Linked DNA regions of Drosophila melanogaster. The protein of the gene in region 1 purifies or fractionates together with the protein of each later gene. This does not show direct contact. Each region holds a gene or a part of one and is shown in the gene's direction. Other genes may lie near its edges. The genes, in order: CG5966 and CG14431.

Evidence for each region.
Region 2: the proteins of CG5966 (region 1) and CG14431 purify together in Drosophila melanogaster (affinity purification with mass spectrometry, with the first as the bait; one large-scale study listed by BioGRID). This does not show direct contact.

Annotation. Positions count from the first base shown.
Region 1 is NC_004354.4:5,985,984-5,995,565, forward strand, and holds CG5966 (uncharacterized protein), read left to right. Parts: upstream 1-2,807; 5' UTR 2,808-3,256; coding exon 3,257-3,374; exon of another isoform or gene 3,375-4,506; coding exon 4,507-5,402; intron 5,403-5,501; coding exon 5,502-6,110; 3' UTR 6,111-6,657; downstream 6,658-9,582. Other genes in the region: Grip (glutamate receptor interacting protein), read left to right, coding at 1-247, 315-416.
Region 2 is NC_004354.4:6,904,552-6,913,055, forward strand, and holds the start of CG14431 (uncharacterized protein), read left to right. Parts: upstream 1-3,725; 5' UTR 3,726-4,270; intron 4,271-8,504.

The DNA of each region.
Region 1 (9,582 bases):
GAATACGGAGGCCAGCAAGGAGTCGGGTAGCGGGAATGCCAACGGTGGCGGAGCAGTCAATGGGAATTCGGGCAGTGGAAAGCCCCGGGTGTTTCATGTCACCCTGTACAAGGACAAGGTGTACGATGACTATGGATTCTCGGTATCCGATGGACTGTACGAGCGTGGCGTCTTCATCAACAGGATTCGCAGCGGAGGTCCTGCCGATATGTGCGGCCTACTGAAGCCCTTCGATCGGATCATGCAGGTTGGTCTGAAGTTATGCTTGGTTTTTTTTTTATCATTTTATACATGTATATTGTATTTACCCTCAGGTAAATGAAATGAAGACGCAGGACTTCGATTGCTGTCTTACCGTTCCGCTGATCGCCGCCGCTGGCGATAAAATCGAGATGATCATGCAGCGCTCTGAGTGATGCTTTTGCCCGAGATCCTTATGTTAAACTAGTTGTATGCTAAGCTAATCCTAAGTGCCATTGCTAGCCCATAATATTATATACTACATATATCCCTGTATTCTTTACCGAGCGAAACCTGCACACAAACAAACAGAAAAACCCTTACCGTCAAGGACAATTGGAGCAAAACAGTCTGGCATAACCAAATAATGTCCTCTTTAAGATAGATCTGCCATAATTCTACGTTAATTCTATGCTAAAATTTGTTTTCTAGCAAATAAACAATCGTACCGAAAGTTTGTTCCAAACTAAACAATCAAAACTATGAGTAATTCCATTGCCTTCAAAGATTAGAAAATTTCCAGCCTCTTGTCTATGTTTATACTTGTATGACCTACATTCTTGAAGGTATGCCCAAAATTTTGATTAGCACTTGGCTTAGGGAAACAATATGCTATGATATTTTTCAATGGAAAATATAATTTACTATAAAATTTACTATAAAATTATATTTTAAAGCATAAAGCTTCATTTTCCATAAATCTAAACTCTTTTTGTAATTTCCATGCCTCTTGAACGTTTAACATTCTGCGCGTACTTTATACTTTGTACCCTGTAAAGCTATAGTCCCCCGCCGATCTGGCACTGATCTATGTAAACTATAATCCCCTTGGGGGCTTATGCCATTGAGAGCGATTGCAGCGATTGTTATTCAATATTCTTCATATTCTGCACTGTGTGTTCCGTTTTCAATTAGCCTTTCGGTGTAATCTATACGCCACATGTAATAATTGTTGTAAACAAAATGTTTTTACACTTGCTAGGAACAAGTGGGCGTGGCTGTGACGTTGGACCCGTCGATGGGAAAATATCAAAACAAATAGACACCAGTGTTGATTTGCAATGCATGTGGATTTTTGAACCGGAATCAATTTTCGAAATCAAAGTTCGATGCTTATCGGAAATCGGGGCAATAGCTGCTGAATCTTTACGGAAGTAATACCCTCTGAGTCAGAGACATATCTAAGTATAGATCGTATTAAAAGCTTCGCATTTTTCCAGGGTATTCTGTTGTGTTTTCGAGAAAAGTCGTAAACAAAAACAAGAATAAAGCAGACAGACTTTAGGTCGTGATAACGCTTTTGAAAGGCCGCCTCTTTGACGTCAATGGGCAATATTCGAGATCCTGGTGGAGTGTCAAGCGATCGAAAACCCGACTCGTAAACACCTTCTCCGGACTTTGGACGCCTCGAAAGCGAAACGGCGGGATTCTGCGAAAATTACTGGCCGCTGATAACGTGTGCCAATGGGGAACATAATATACATATGCAAATATATTTAGTGCTAACCAGACATTGACACCACCACCTGTCAGTGGCGGTGGGCTGAGGGACAAGGGCGTGGCAGGGGCCCGTCGATTGACACAGTTTTCATAGAAATTCACTTGGCATGTTACACACAAAACAATTTTCTTCTATTAATAAGCTAGCAAAAAACTAGGTTCGTCATGCTTAAAGATATTCTACAAATATATTGATCTTTAGATATATAACTACTTTTAAAGTAAGCTAAAATAACAATCTTTTAAAATTTAAAGATATATATTGCCAATAATAATGGAATATCCTTAAAAACATGGTTCAAATCGTTAGGATCGTTATGGGTAGTTTATACAAATAAGTATATTTTTTCTCGCCGTGCCGAATGGGTTGTCGAGAACAGCTGCTGATTGCCCAAGGGGGCTGTTCCCCATCCTCTATTTCTGACCCATCATAAGATCCTCCCTTGTGCCGCCCTCTTCCTGTAAGAGATTGCTCAACGCATTCATGGCGGTCACTTTGTTGTCGTCGGCAGAGCGGATCGGCTTCCTTATCAAGAAGGTGCATCCAACAAAGAGCAGCTGGTGTACTTTGCATCTACACTGAGCGAAACGCTCGACTTGTGCACTATCAGCTGCTCAGGGCCTCTTGCTTTCCTCTCTCTCTTTCACACTCTCTGCTGTAAGTCGCGTGCCGAAGCTCATTGGTCAGTGTTGGCTGTCTAGCGAAAATACGACATAACTTCCATAGAAATAATATCTGTAAAAGGAGCGTAGTTATCAACATTTAATGGTATATATAGTGATACTTGAACGGGTTATAGATTTAAAGTATGTTTTTTTTCTGAATAGCCTTCATGGTAATTTCCACGAGATATTCGGCTTCCACCAACTGTTTATTACACTTGACCTTTGAAGTGGTAGACGTATTGTACGCATATGTATATGTCGGGAAATCGGCGGATCGGTCAGCACTATCTTCGATCGGCGGCTTCGGCTGCAGCTTCGGATGCAGCTTTCTGATTTCGGTTACGGTTTCGATTTCTCGCGACGTCTACGTCTTTATAAAAATTGCGTGGGGCGCAGCTGATCCGCTCAGTGGTGCGACGGTTTCCAAGCGACTCAGATCGGCGGAGATATACACGACATATAGCCCAGTCATTGGCGATAGTCAAAATCGAAAGAAACCGAGGGCCGCCAACTAACCTAACAAGCTAACGGCACACTCGAGACGAAAGACAGTCGATAAGATTAACGTCAACTTAATTAAAACTATAGAAAAGAAAAGCCAGGCACCAAACAAAAGGCCGATCGATCAATCGATCGATCCCATCGTAACTCGACTATACAGTCCTAGCCTTAGATAATAGCCAACTCGAGTGGCACTCGTTCAAGTGATTTGTGATTGTGGTTCAGTTAAGAACTGACTAAAGCCCTGGGAAAAAGTGTGTGATTCAAGTTGGGAATTTCCAAGATCCCCAGGATCTAAGGGATCACATTTGGCATCGGAATCGGAATCGGAATCAGATACAGCTGCAGGATGTATGTGGCCAACACGACGGGCGGCCTAATGCTGCAGACCATGTTGTATTTGGCCAACCACACCAGTCGGGCGGCAGTCAACACCCTGGTGGACCTACCACCAGCTCCCAAAAGTGGTAAGTAATTCGAGCCACGAGCCCACTTTTGGCTACCACCGATTGCACCACCCATCGTAACTAGAACATGTCCATCGAAAGTGGCCCAAAAGTATCTGCCACTTGAGCCACAGTGGCGGTCGAAATAGGAGTAGCTAAGGGATTTCTAGTGTTTCAATGAAATGAAATTTTTACAAATATGTAGAACTATTATTCAATAATAAGTTAAAGATTAGAATAAATACAAGATATCCCCACTTTATAGAGTAAGAGAGTAGAGTAATTGGAGCTATTATCTTGGCCGCAGCTGTGTCATTTGGGCCCAGTTAGGGGCAACCTTAAGTGGTTTCTTTTGCTGAGTGTGCTGAGCAAACAGTTTTCGGATCTTTAGTGCTTCGAAATCCAAAGATGCTGAGTGCTGCTCGCATTAGCAAATGGGGAAAGCTCTTTCAAGAAGCCCGCAGCGATTGCGATCACCTGAGTGATGGAGGCACAGGTGGCAACTCGGCGTGCTTCAATTTGATTTGGAAATCAGGGTCCCAAAAGGCTAATGACGCGACTCCGTCCGGTGCGGTTTCATATATGTACATATCGTGCGTACATATATGTAGATATATAATATGTATTCAGTTGTTGGAGGGACGCGGCACACGCCTATCTAATCGAAAACTTCCGATACAAACGGAAAGCCAAAGAAGACCACGATAAAATAGAGACGGCAATCCATGCACCACTGGCCAAATAAATTGAAGTCTTCTGGCCCATATGAAATACTTAATGGAACATTACAGGCATCTGACATCTTGAAAATTGTCTAAGGTTTTTTCATGGATCGTTAGGCTTTTTACCAGACCACAACAGTTCTAATTGAGATTTTGCAAAAGTTTAAAGGAATATTAAAAGAAGGCAGTTACGTTCAGATTAATGGTTTTATAATGCCTATTATAGTTTCATGGATTCAAATTGCCCGAGTAGATTATTTTCAAGATTTTAGCCTCAGTGGTTTTGAATTATAACTATATATAAAACTAGTGATAGTTGGTTATTTGTTGCTAAAATTCCAACCCGCTTATCTCAGTTCAGGTGTTCGCCTGTTGATTTATAGACCAAACATACCACAACAAACCCACTGATTTTCCCCAATCCTCGCCAGACATCAACGAGGTAAAATGCTTCGGAGTGTATGGCTGTTTTCCGATCAATGGACCCTGGAACACGGTGACCCGTTCGATAAATGTGCATCCGCAGAAGCCTTCGGAGATCGAGCCCCATTTCACACTGCACACGCGAAGGGCATTGGATCAGCCCAAGTATCTGGATCTCAATGATCCAGAAAGCGTTCAAGGCATGGGAATGAATCCCAAGGGCAAGATATTCCTGCTTGTCCATGGATACCTGGAGTCCGGTGAAATTCCCTGGATGTGGGACATGGCCAAGGCGCTGCTGGCCCACGAGCCCGAGGGTCGGGCATCCGTGGTCCTCATCGATTGGGGCGGTGGCGCTAGTCCGCCGTATGTCCAGGCGGTTGCCAATATCCGGCTAGTGGGCGCCATCACCGCCCATGTGGTGCACATGCTGTACGAGGAGTTGCGTCTTCCGAATCTGGACAATGTGCACATCATTGGTCACTCACTGGGTGCCCATCTGTCCGGCTATGCCGGCTATCACCTGCAGCACGACTTTGGACTGAAACCGGCCAGGATAACGGGTCTGGATCCGGCTGCTCCTCTCTTCACGGACACCGATCCCATCGTGCGGCTGGACAAGACGGATGCCCACTTCGTGGACATTGTGCACACGGATGCCAATCCCCTGATGAAAGGCGGGCTTGGCATCAATATGCGACTGGGACATGTGGACTTCTTTCCCAACGGTGGTTTCGATAATCCCGGCTGCAACAAGAAGTTCCAGGATGTGGTCAAGAAGAAGACGCTGTTCCTCACCATGCAGGAGTTCCTCGGCTGCAATCACATTCGCAGTCAGCAGTATTTTACGGAAAGCATCGGCTCGCAGTGTCCTTTCCTTGGAATAACCTGTGATTCTTTCGAGGTGGGTATCCTAGGCATTTTTATTGCTAATCAATTGCTCTTTGATTGATTTTTTGAATATTCAAACTTAAAATATGTAATATTGTTTCTTCCTTTTTAGAGCTTTAAGGACACGAAGTGCACCAGTTGCGAGGAGCCGGGCCACACGTGCCTGCGAATGGGCTACCACAGCCAGGAGGATTACCAGGAGCAGGTTGATCTTGGCCAGCTGCAGCAAGGCGACTCACCAGGGGTCTTCTACCTATGGACTGGAGATAGCAAGCCCTTCTGCCGACTGCACTATAGGATAACAGTGCGAGTTTCCGGACACGATGAGAGTACGCTACATGGCGGCGAGGTGGGCATCCTGTCCATTCAGCTGCACGATGCCCTGGTGAAGAAGGCTGGCAAAAATGAGCGAGCCGCCACGGAGATGATGAAGTTCTCCCAGAAGGCAATGTACTTTGAGCCGGGCTATGAATACAAAGCTTTGGTGGCCGGACGGAATCTCCGAGAGCCGGAGTACGCGACTGTTAATTGGGAGTACCCCACCAATATACTGAATCCACTCACATGGCGCATCCTATCCGCGCCGCGTATCTACTTGGAGTACATCCTCATCGAGGCGATGGAGTCCAGCGACCTATACCTAAAGTTATGTCCTCAGCACGAAGGAGCCATTCTCACGGGCGCTGAAAATGTCCTGCGCTCCAGCTATTGCAAGGATTAATATCAACCTGTTTACTTGATAATTTATTGGCTAATTGATGATAATATTATCATTTCAATTAATTGATTAATTATCCACTAAATTCGGAACTGTATGTAAGCTATATCATTACTTAATTAGCTAATTAATTTGTAATTTTGCTCATGTCTAATGATTAATTGGCTAATTAATTAAGAACTCAGCTCACACTTTCTCAGCACCCAATATGATTGCGTAGAAAATCAAAGAAAGCAGTGCAGGTTTGCGTCACCGCTAAGTTGTTTGCACAACCAGAAGTGGCACAGATGCAGATGCGTGTCTGCGCTGTGGGAACAGATCGAAAAAGTGTTCCCAGTTTGACTTTTATAGCAACTCGCTGAGAAGGAACAGTTTGTATTTTATTATAGTATTTTAATAGTTCGAAATACGAAACAATCATCAAACCGTTATTTATTTTATAAAATAATATGTTTCATATACAATATATTTTTTTTTTTGAGTTAAATGTATTTGTAGTCGTAGTGCACTGATGTAGTCTAATTTAATGTAAATAAACATGCAAATATACAAAGGTTTCTGTGTTTATATTGTATACATATATAATTGCACAAGCAAAGCTTAATTTTCAGAAGTAAATCCGATGTGATTTAAATCTTGGTTATTCAAATGAAGACCCATTTCTTGCGCCGAAAGCGCGACTTATAGGTAACCTGAAGTTAGATAATTGTGATAAAAAGGTTAAAGACAACACGACAAGCCCCCAGTTGTGGATCTGCCTGCCATAACTCAAATCAGCTGTGGATTCTAATGAATTATAAACACAAACACGAAACTGTGGAGACGGGGAACATTCCATGACATGGATACCCAGTCTGTGTTGATGTTAATATTTTAAATGCTTATCGGGGCAAATGTATCTATCGCATGCATGTGTATCTTTTACATATAATTGATATTATCTGCATTGATTCGACTCGTTTTCAACTTCGTTCGCTGCTGTCTCGATTTCGGTTTTGGTTTTCGTTTCTGTTTTGTTTTCGTTTGAGTTTCAGTTTAAGTTTCTGTTTCTGCGGCCGGCTCTTTGTTTTATGATCGAACATTTGGACATTCCAACGCTCTCCGGGCAGCCCGAAAGCCTCAGTTGTTACACAGAAAAAAGTTGTGAGGTGTTGTCACACCAAAAATACATAATATTTACATTTTTAGCGGTTTCTTAGTTATTACTTGGTCCAAATTCGGCACACAATTATTAGAGACCATGTTTTGTGCAGCGGAAAATCAGAGCTTTCGATCCAAATCACATTTCGCAGGTTTTTGAAAATTTTAATTTTTTTCAATTTTTTGCATTTTTGGTAAGGGGTAACATCATCAAAATTTGCGAAAAATTGTCAAAATTTGAAGTATAAAGCTTGGTATATCAATCGATTGGAAATTAAGTTACGAGTTCAACGAGGTATGGCATTCCGAATTTGGATAATTCTTCGCGTTTTTATGGTTAAAAATCTGCTAATAATTTTCTAAAAATATGGATGTAAATATATAAGAAAATAAGGGTTTTAATTGTTGTTTTTTGCCTACAACTTGACCAAAATAAGTCTCACAATGAAAAGAGACACTGTTTTGTACAGTGGGCAACCTCAATTTTCGGCCCAAATCACAAACTGCAGACTTTTGAAAAATAAAATTTTTTTACATTTTTTGCATTTTTGGTAAGGGGTACCATCATCAAAATTTGCAAATTTCCAAAAAATGTCAAAAAAATAAAAAATCCCAGATTTAAATGCCAGTCGATGGGGCATTAAAATACGAGTTCGGCGAGGTATGACACTCAATATTTGGATCGATAATTTCATTGTTATGGCCGTTAAACCAATTGTAGAGCAAGCTATAAAGCATAAGTTCCTGAAACTATCCTCAGTGTACTATGGTTTCAGTCTCAACCTCAAAGTGAACCTGGCCCATAAATATGTTGACAGAGACAGAGCGAACGACAGAGGGAGACGGCTGATGATCATGTTGACAATGTTTCGCCGGAGTTCATTTCATTCGTTTCTGGGAATTGAAATTGTTTGAAAACCTTTTCATGTTTTGACTTTCGTCGCTCCACCTGTATCCCCCATCCCCACGATGTGTGCCCACTTATTCCCATGATATGCATTCATTAATAATGTTAATCGATTTGGGATAACCCTTCGATCTTGGCCACCGTATGTCCCGAAAATGTCATCATGGGAATTACGGCCAAGCAAATGGCCAAGTGCCTCCCCTTTTCTCTGTTTGCTGTTTGATATTTTTTGGGCTGACTACTAACTGCAGCTGGAATCCATTAGCCATCCGCCTCTTAATTAGTTCACCTTGGCCTCGGCTTCCTTCTTAGATTTTCCAACTCCTTTGCTGCAGCTCCTTATTTTGTTGTTGTTGTTTTGATTTTCCTCACTTTTTCCCCCGACTTGTGGCATAAATCAGACGAGTGCGCCGGCTGAGGGACATCAAATGGGCCTCGAGCCCAAATCAAAATGTCATAATTTCAACGGGGCCAACATCGGCGACAATACGTCAACATGCCCACCCTATGGATTTTCCAGTTTTTCACCCTTTCCATGGGTCCATGTAGATCCACACCCACCCACTCTGTCATTTCGCCGTTTAATTAGTCGGCCGCGCCGGCGTCGCAAACAAATCACATAATTATGATTGAGCGCAGGCAGCGCCAACTCTTTTTATATATATTTCAAATTTTATTTTCCCCACTTTTTTAGAGGGCAATAAAAGGGGAAATCATCCGGACTTTCCTCCCGCTGTGGCTCATTTTGGGGTTTCCTTTATGGGACGTCAGAGACGCGTGCATAAATATAAATCAGGGCCGGCTCACAGCTGCCGTAATTGAATGCAAATGTCCATCCAAAAATACGATGGCTCTAAAGTGTTTCCCCCCCTGTCGAAAATCTATGTGATATACGTATGCACCCTATAGGCGACAATCTGCTCTAAATTATCACGTGTAGGTGCCGCCGTCGTATTTCCCCGCCGCTTTCCCCGCTTTTCCTGCGCTCCATTGTCTTTGCTGGCGATGCGTGGAAAACTAATTTCCCACTACCATCCCGCTGGCATTTTCCCGGTGCCATTCATCTTGTGCATTTCTCTGATATTCATAATTCGTGGCGTGTGCGCCGAGTTTTCCCCACACGCCCTCCACCATCACTATCCACATCCCACTCCACCACTCTCCCATGAAATCCATTTACCAGCTTCGCAGGAGGAGGACGCCAAATGATGAGTCGCCTCCTTTTGTCAGCTTGGTAAATTGCACCACGTGTTTCTGATAATGACGACATAATTACGCCACAAGTTGGAGTGAATGGAAAACAAGGCTGGAAAAGCAGAGTTAGTGAATTAAAAATTCTTATAAGCCAACTAACTCATTAAAAAATTAATTTTTTTCTTTCATAAGTGATTTTGAGGAATATGTTGTATTATGTTATTATGTAAAAAT
Region 2 (8,504 bases), 920 kb from region 1:
ACTTCGTGTTACTTAAACGTATTCAAGTTCGCCAAGTTATAGATTTATTTTTTTTTGAAAATTATATCATCCTAAGCATTGTTTTTCTCGGTGTATACATCCTAATTAGCTGTTTGGCTCGCATTGTTGCGCATTTTTGGGCGATCGGTAGAGTGGAAGTCATCCGTAATATTCACTGCGCGTAAATCGCTCGGATTATAATTTGTATAAATACACACGGCCAGCTTGTTACCCTGTAGTTTCTGGCTCAGACAGGCTTAAAAAAAGGATACAAAGGACACGCCTAATCCTTTGGCATGTTAGCGGTAATTGCGCGTTGGCTGTGCGACGATTTAATTGAAAACACGCTATTATTTTTATTCACAAATTGTGTCAGCCTGGCAACCGATTGAATGGCGCTACGAAAGGGTTTGGCAATTATAGTTTAACAAAAAAAAAAAACCCAAAAAAAAAACCTTTTTGTTCAACTGTAATTGCCATGTTTTGATTTTTAAATACAGGCTGATTTTAGTCGGAGTTTAACAAGCATCTAATTGCTTCGACCTTGTGTTTAACTTTCTCAGCAAAAATATTTGAATACCTGTGTTCACCATTTGTTTTCCCACTTCCTGGCGCTCAAGTGATCTTTTAGACTTTCACTTGGTCACGATGACTCGTCCAATCAGTGGCCATATAAAATGCTGACTTGTGTGGCTTAAATATTCGAAATGAACCCAAAATGCAGTTCGGAGCAACACAAAACAAAAAAAAAAAAAAAATAAAATAAGAAGAAAAACAAAAAATGTGAAGAGCAGGAAAACCAGAGACTGACGACTCAATTGAATTCTGCGGCAATAAGTCAATTGGAAATCATTGAACAACAATTTGACGTGCCATTTATAAAAGCATCAAAATCTGTTCGACCACTTTGCTTTGGCTGGTGCGCCGGGGAAAAGTTGGGAAAGCTGGGGAAAAGCTAGGGAAAAGCTGGCACAAGTGGGGGAGTCTACGGTCTGAGGAGCTATAGAAGTTCCAAATCGAAGGAGTGTGGCCACTACGTAGTGTGCCAATTAATGTTGGCAATTAAATGGCGTCCACAGCATTTGAACGGCACATTTGTCAAGGGGAAACAGAGAGGCTGCTCGATTTTCCAAAAAAAAAAAAATAAAAAAAACCCCCAACTTCACAATTGAACCCCCCATGACGCACCACCACCGCCAACAACAACAAATGTACAATGGCCATCTGATTGCTTGGCCATTTCCAGCATTTTGCTCAAGTTGCTCGCATTTTCTGGCCTTCTTTCCACTCGACGACTCTACGTCGTCTTGACTGCAATTCAATTTTGCCTCGATTCAATTCGCTTCGATACGATTCGATTTGATTTTTTTTTTTTGATCGGGTTTTTCTCCTGCATTGTCTGGTCGCAATGATATACAACATTTATATATTTTGAGCAACAATTGTTTTGGCATTAAAAGCCGGCGGAATGTACAATTGATGGCCCGACTTTGGACCACGTTCGTTTGCTGTCGCCGATGCCATCCATCACACTCAAAGCGAAATGAATTGAAACTAATGCCGAAATGGCAATCAATGCAACATGAGCAACATGAGCAACATGAGCGACATGAGCGACTTGCACTTGCACTTGCAACAGCTGTTGTTCGCTTGCTTTCCCGGCGACCAACTCGAAAATCCTGTTCGTCGTGGAAAGCCAAGTTTTTCTGGTGAAAATGGTTAGTGGAGCATCGGAGGCGTAGGCTCACTTTCTAGTAGAAATCAACTTCAGTTCGAAAAAAAAAAAAACTGGCTTCAAATTGATAGTCATTCATTTGGGAAATCAATCATATTACCACTATGAATTTTCATTTCGACCTTCCATGTCTGTATATGTTTATGTTTTCCATTTCACCTAAATAGTAATAGTAATAATTAGCTTGGTGGCATAAACGTATATTAATTGTGGATATGTGTGCGCGAAATTCCGAAAGCTGGCATCCTGCTGTTTGTTTGCTGGCGTTGGTTGGCGCAAATCATAATTAACACCACCACCTGCCAGTTGACCCATCCTGCATCAAATCCTTTGACGAACGAAAACATAGCACCTAATAGTCAAACTGACACGCTAAGCTGATTAACTCTAATCTAAAGTTGCAACCGGGGGAAAATAAAACACCGACCGAACACAATCAAGGAAAAGCGAGTGTGAGCCAAAGGGAAAACAGCAGGGAAAAGCACAGCCCGCATTGCCTGCGAAAAAGCACTGAGCGAAATTGGGTATGCAAATGCAATAGTTGCTTGCGCGTAAAACTTTGAAACGGAACTAACAACAAAATTGTAAATATATATTATAATTAAATATTTATCTAATATTAAACAAAAGCATTTTCACAGTTCTTTAAGTGATATCTTACTTGATATCTTACTTTTTTTTCAGTGCACTGCCTAACCCACCGGCTATACGACGACGACTGTTTACATTTGTCAAAGATTTGGGTCTGGGTAAAAGGAGGTGAAAAGCACGGCGTTTCCCATCGAAGAGCTGGCTGGCAATGAAGACGGGCGGAACAAGTGCACGAAATTGAGAGCGACAAGGAAGCCGAGGAAAATAAAGAGGATCCAGCGGCAGGACGGATAAAAGTGCACCCAACATGGTACCAAAGTGACCCCTAAAAATCCGGCTACCAAATGCCGTCGGAGACTCTTATCTGTCCCCCGGATTTGTGACTCCTTTCCACCAGTCACTGGATTCACGTTTTCCTTGTGTGTGTGTGTTTAGTGGGTGTCTGGCCTCATCTGGTTTGGTTGTATGGCTGTTTTTGGCTTTTTGGCCGCGTGTCCTCTGTCCGCGTGTCCTTGAATTGGCTTAGAGTTCTCGGGGGCGTCTGGATTTGTGGCATCTCGGGTCTCCCCCCAGTCTCCATAGTCTCGGTCACAATCTCCGCCTGAACCCAAAACAGACACAGCAAACGGAGAGCAAAACACCGAAATCCCGAAAAAGGTGCGCGTCCTAAGCTGACCGTGAATGGATGAGGACAAGTTGTCGAAATTGCCAGCGGAACCCAGCTTACTTACCGATAATAACTTGCCCTCTTGTTGGCTGGCTGTCAGCACTTTGCGGGCAAGACCAGGTTGGCAGCCCTGTCAGCGTCTATCGGACAGGTTGCCAGCTCCTCGCGGCAATGTTAAAAAAAGTTACAACACTTTGGTTTTTGACTTTCAGCGAAGTGTCGTCATGTCTGCATTGTTTTTCATTTTACAATCACAAGCTGCTTTCACCGATGAACATATCCATATATAGTAAGTACATTATTTCAAGAGTTTATTCTCCGGACTATGGCAATATTTTGCATATATGTATGTCTGTAGTTCATTTGCAATGCCCTCAAACTTTTCGGCCAAAAAGATGCGCGAAACGGGGAAATGGCGGCAATCATTTGAGCCGCTTCGAAAACATCACTTTGCCTTCAAGGCTGTTTGACGTTGGGTGGCTTGGTTTTTTGGAAAAAGTGGGCAATGGTGAGGAGTGAATGGCGGCACCGGCTTGGTCATATTTTGGCGCAAGTTTTCACCACACGCCCAAAAGGGGAAAATGCAGACGCTGCTGCATCGCCGCTGTCGATGAAGACGACGAAAAGCGAGGAAAAGTGGCAAGACGACTGTGCGTGCCGCCTCGTGCCGCAGTTCGGCGCTTCGGCAAATGGAGCTCGGCTTCGGGAAATGGCGCTCGGCAAGTCGGGAAACACAGGCGGCATTATCAGACGGCAACTTCAGTTGCAAGCGAGCGCTCACCGTGTGTGTCTCGTGTCTCTCGGGCGGCAAACAGCAATAGCAACTTGCAACTTGCAATAGCCAGCAACGTGCCACAGCCAGCAGCAACTAGCAACATAAATTGCGTGTTTTTTTGACTTTGACTTTGGGCCACAAGCGGTTTTGAGTTTGAGTCTCGAACTTTGAGTTTTCCGCGCGCGTTTTTCTCAAATCGATTCGAAGGACCGGGCGACTGTTGAGTGTTTTGTTTTGGTTTTCGTTTGTGTTGCATTGTCACGTGCCCGACCATTTGTTTATTTGTTTTTTGTTGCTGTGTTGTGTGGTGCATGAGCATTAAGTCAGCGTCCAAAAGAACAGCCAAGCCAACGTGCAGCATTTGCTGGACTTCTTTTGAAATTGAAAACAGAAATTCGTTTTCAAAGCTGCAGCATTAGATGGACTTCCCAAAAAAGAGCTAGTTACCAGTTTCAACAATAATTGCAAGCGAAGCAAATTGCAACTGCATAGAATACGTTCGGTATGTTTCTTAATATGTCAATAGAATACTACGTATTTTTAAGCCCACAACTTTTTATGCACATGGTTTAAATGTGTTATTATTACTTTATCCTTTTTTGTACTTTTCTAACATATTTACTGATCTACTGATTTGTCAGCAAACAAGCTGTCATAGATTTGCTAATATTTCTTTTGAAAGATGTGCTTTCAATAACAACCTGCTTCATATGTTGCAACCGATGGAAATCCGCCACTTTTGCAGAATTATAGTAAGCAGCGAGAATCGCAATATTTCTTCAGTATTAATTCTATGAAAAATCATAAGCAACCTAAACGGAACATTTTGTGGCAAGCAAAGTGTTTCGTTATTGTTGGTCTTTCAATAACGAGCTGCGATATTTATTGCAACCGATGGAAACTTGCAACATTTGTTCAACTGGACGGCGTGTGTGACTGGTTCGTGTTGCCTTACTATTTTATTTTTAATTTTTTTCTTACCATTTTTTTTTGTATGTTTCGTTGTATTTATTTTTAGCGAAAGTTTCTGTTGGTGTTTTGTTTGATTTTCTTGTGCCGGCGTGACGAGTTTGCCAATTTGCCAGCTTGCTGTTTGGTTATTGCTGTTGCTGTTGTGAGGGGAAAAATGAAAACAATTTGCTGTGGATGCTCGGCCTTCGCTTTTCTTCATCTCCAGTTTGGGCGCCCCTAATTAAACCGGTTAAGCGTTTCATTTTTGTTTAGTAATTTTTGCTGTTGCTGTTTTTTTTTTGCTTTTTTTTGCTTTTTTGTGCGTTTTTCGGTTTTCTGCTAATTGCCAGTGAAATTTGTGACAGCAGCAGCAGCACGACAACAATCAGCTGCCATTGTGTGTCCTTGTTAATGAAATCGTTAAGCTTTCCGAAGGACCCGGTGGTAGCCATGGCGCTCACAGGACGATTACGTTGACGAGGGGAGAGTGAAAAAAAAAAATAAAAAATAAAAAAAATGTAGGGAAGAAGGAAGAAGGTGGTGCTGCTGGCTAGGCCAATATCAAAAGGATTTCGTTTGAATGCGAACATGAAAATATGGGCGAAATATGCGAAAAATGCTTGCCCGAGGAATCTGGCAAACGGAGCGATATGCCGATGGCAAACCTGATGGCTGCTTTTGGGGGAATCTCGTCAACAAGCTGTTGAAGCGGCCAAAAATCTGGTAAAACTCAAAAAAAAAGAATGGCCCGCAGGCTATTTACATGGAAAATCGCACGAGCTTGTCAAACGAAATGTGCAGCTTGCAGTTCAAAGGTTGTTGAAAGTGCGATAGCAAAATAAACATTGAATATAAGTAGCCAACTTTGCTCTGCTCTAAACTAATTATTGGAAATTCACTGATAGCCTTATTTGTTTGTACCAAATCGAATTAATATGGAAATTCTTAATTAAAACTCCATCTAAATGTAAAAACAAAAATCAAACCAAGCGAGTGAAAATGCTGAAACAGACTGAAAAGATAAACAAAAAAGAATTGGGCAACTGAATGAAGCCATCAGCAGAGCGCCATGTGCAGCAGCACCACCACCAACAACAAAAACAACTTGCAGGTGGTGGGTGGAAAAGCGATGGAAAATGTGATGGCTGGAAGGGGGGGGAGGAGGGGGAAAAATGTGAAAACGCGCCAAAGAGACGGACAACAGCGGAAAAATGCCGCCAAACGCAAATACTGCGGCACAATTTCATTTTTTTGTTATCTCACTTTTTTTTTGCTTTATTTTTTATTAATTTTCATCGTTTTTTGCCTGCTTTTCCGGAGGACACCAAAACGCACACACACCAACGCACTCAAAGCTTCGTCGCCTGCGGGCCAAAAATTTTAGATTTTCACTTTTCCCAGCCGCGACTGCTGTTTTATTATTATTATTTTTTTTTTATTGTGTGTTGACAAAATATCCCACAGCAGCAGCAAGGAAAAAATGAATAAAAAAAGCTACTCTGGCTCACATTATGAAATTTTTAATCAAATGAAATGACAATAAAATTTTGTCGTTGCCAAATTAAATGAAATGTCAATTTCGAGTCAAAAAAAAAAAAGAGGGATAAAATTTGAAAATCACTTAAAAGTCGCAAAAAAGAAGTGAAAAGTCGTTGGGTTGGGCGAAGCAATTCAAATTACAATTTAATATCTTTTTTAGTTGTTTATTGGTACTTGAAATTTGATTGACCAATACAAACACTTGATCTACTCGTTTGCAATTTAAATTAACAATTGCCAATAAATATATTCCATCATCTATCAGATTTGATATCATTCCGTATAATTAGTCCTATTTTATTAACACTGTTGGCCAGTTTCAAATTCGCAATGCCAAGAAACTAGATTATAATAACTGCAAATGGTTTATCCAATTAATGACTTAATTTGCTGGCAAAAATCAAACCATTCCTTTTAAAGGATAAACTGTTGAGCACAAATGCACTACCATTTCAACGAAAACTTGGCCACATAGTTGGCCATTTATGCAAAATAGATTTACAGATTTGCATCGAGGCCAGGTGGCATAATTGATATTAATTTTGTAATTAAAACGTAAACGGATTGAAGGAAGTATAGCTGGAGATTATGCAATATTTCGCAGTTGAAAAATTTTCAATTGAACAATAAACAAATAACAAATCGCACAGAGGACAAGCAAAATTGTCAAACATTCCGACATTTCTGACACTTGACATAAACTGGCAGATATATCTGCATTTATAAACGCCATTCGGATGGCCTAATTTATGCATATTTGATGAAGCGCATTTCGTAATGAATATTGCAATAATCGATCGACAATATTAGGTTTTGGTTTAATTGAATTACCTTTTTGTTGCCAAAGTCGACGGCGAAATTGTTGGAAAATTGCAATCCGAAAATCGAAAGTCTCACTCATTTTCCAGCCAGCAAATGCAGCGGAGCATTAAAATTGCCTTTTAATTATCACGAACTAAAAATACACAAGCAGAAAATGGAAAAAAAAACGCGAAAAACATACTCTGCATAAATCCATAAATTGCCTAAACATGAACAAGAGCACAAAAATGATAGAGCTTTTATCCCCTTTCATGTTCGTAAATATGATTAAAAAGTTGCGATTTCAATAGATTACACGTTGATTAAAATTTCGTTGCGGACTTAAATTAAAGATCTTCATTTGATTTGAGATTATTTCATCGGTTAGTTGGGGGGAAAAGTTGTGCGAAAAGAAAACTAGTTAATTAAATCGTAGTGAAAATGGATCGTTTTCAAGCAGAAAATCCGACTATTTAGCAAGGCAACTCAATCTTGCGTTCCCCTTGGGCTTTCACCAAAATTGGCGACATATTTATTGGGATTACTTAAATCGAGCTCAGCTCTTTAAGTCGTCCAAATATTTTGTGGCTGGCTCACTTGAAAGCTGTCAGCTTCAACTTTTGGCCCCATAATCCCCCCTTTTTTTTTACCTGTCTCACCTGTGTTTTTCCTTATTATTTTTTTTTTGCACTTCATCAAGTTGCGTTGAGCCAGCGGAGAAGGAAACTAAATGCGCAAACACATGTTCCCCATTCACTTGCGACACGGCAACTCTGTGAGAGTTTGAGTGTGCACTGAAAAAAAAAAGCTACAAGCTACAACATTATGTTTGCAAGAGTATGTAAAGATAAAGAATGTAACAATGAAACATATTACGTTTGTAAATGAGCATGAGTGCTTGTAAGGTATCTTTTGCTTTACCCGTATCTACACCGATTTCTCTCAGTGCACTTGTGTGCTTGTCGATGTTCTAATGTATGTATTTGCATCTATTAGTGCGTGCGTGCCATGATGGCCAGTCGACTACAACAGCAACAAATAGCCAAACAAAAAGTTTTGGCTTTAGTTTTTGCATTCGGCTTCGGATTTGGCCTATGGCCATAACGAGATGGCCGATTTCGATGGGTTGAGGGAATTTGGTGGTGTCGAGATAAAAGTTAAAGCCAGCACACAAGTGTGAATTATAACTTGGGGCCACAAGAGAAGGTATTCACATAATTGCACTTAAAACACTGCGTTGCTTATTAATATGAATATAGAAAAGTAGTTAACATTCTTGTAATTAAACTATACAAATTACGTGAAAGTTAGGCAAATATTTGACCAGCTCCGTTCGGGTTCCTTTTCCGTCTGCTCTTCATTACTCATCACGTTTTCCCTGTATCCACATTTCCTTTCCTCCTTTTCAAATTCCATTTTTCCCACTCTCCTGTTCGAAATTCCCA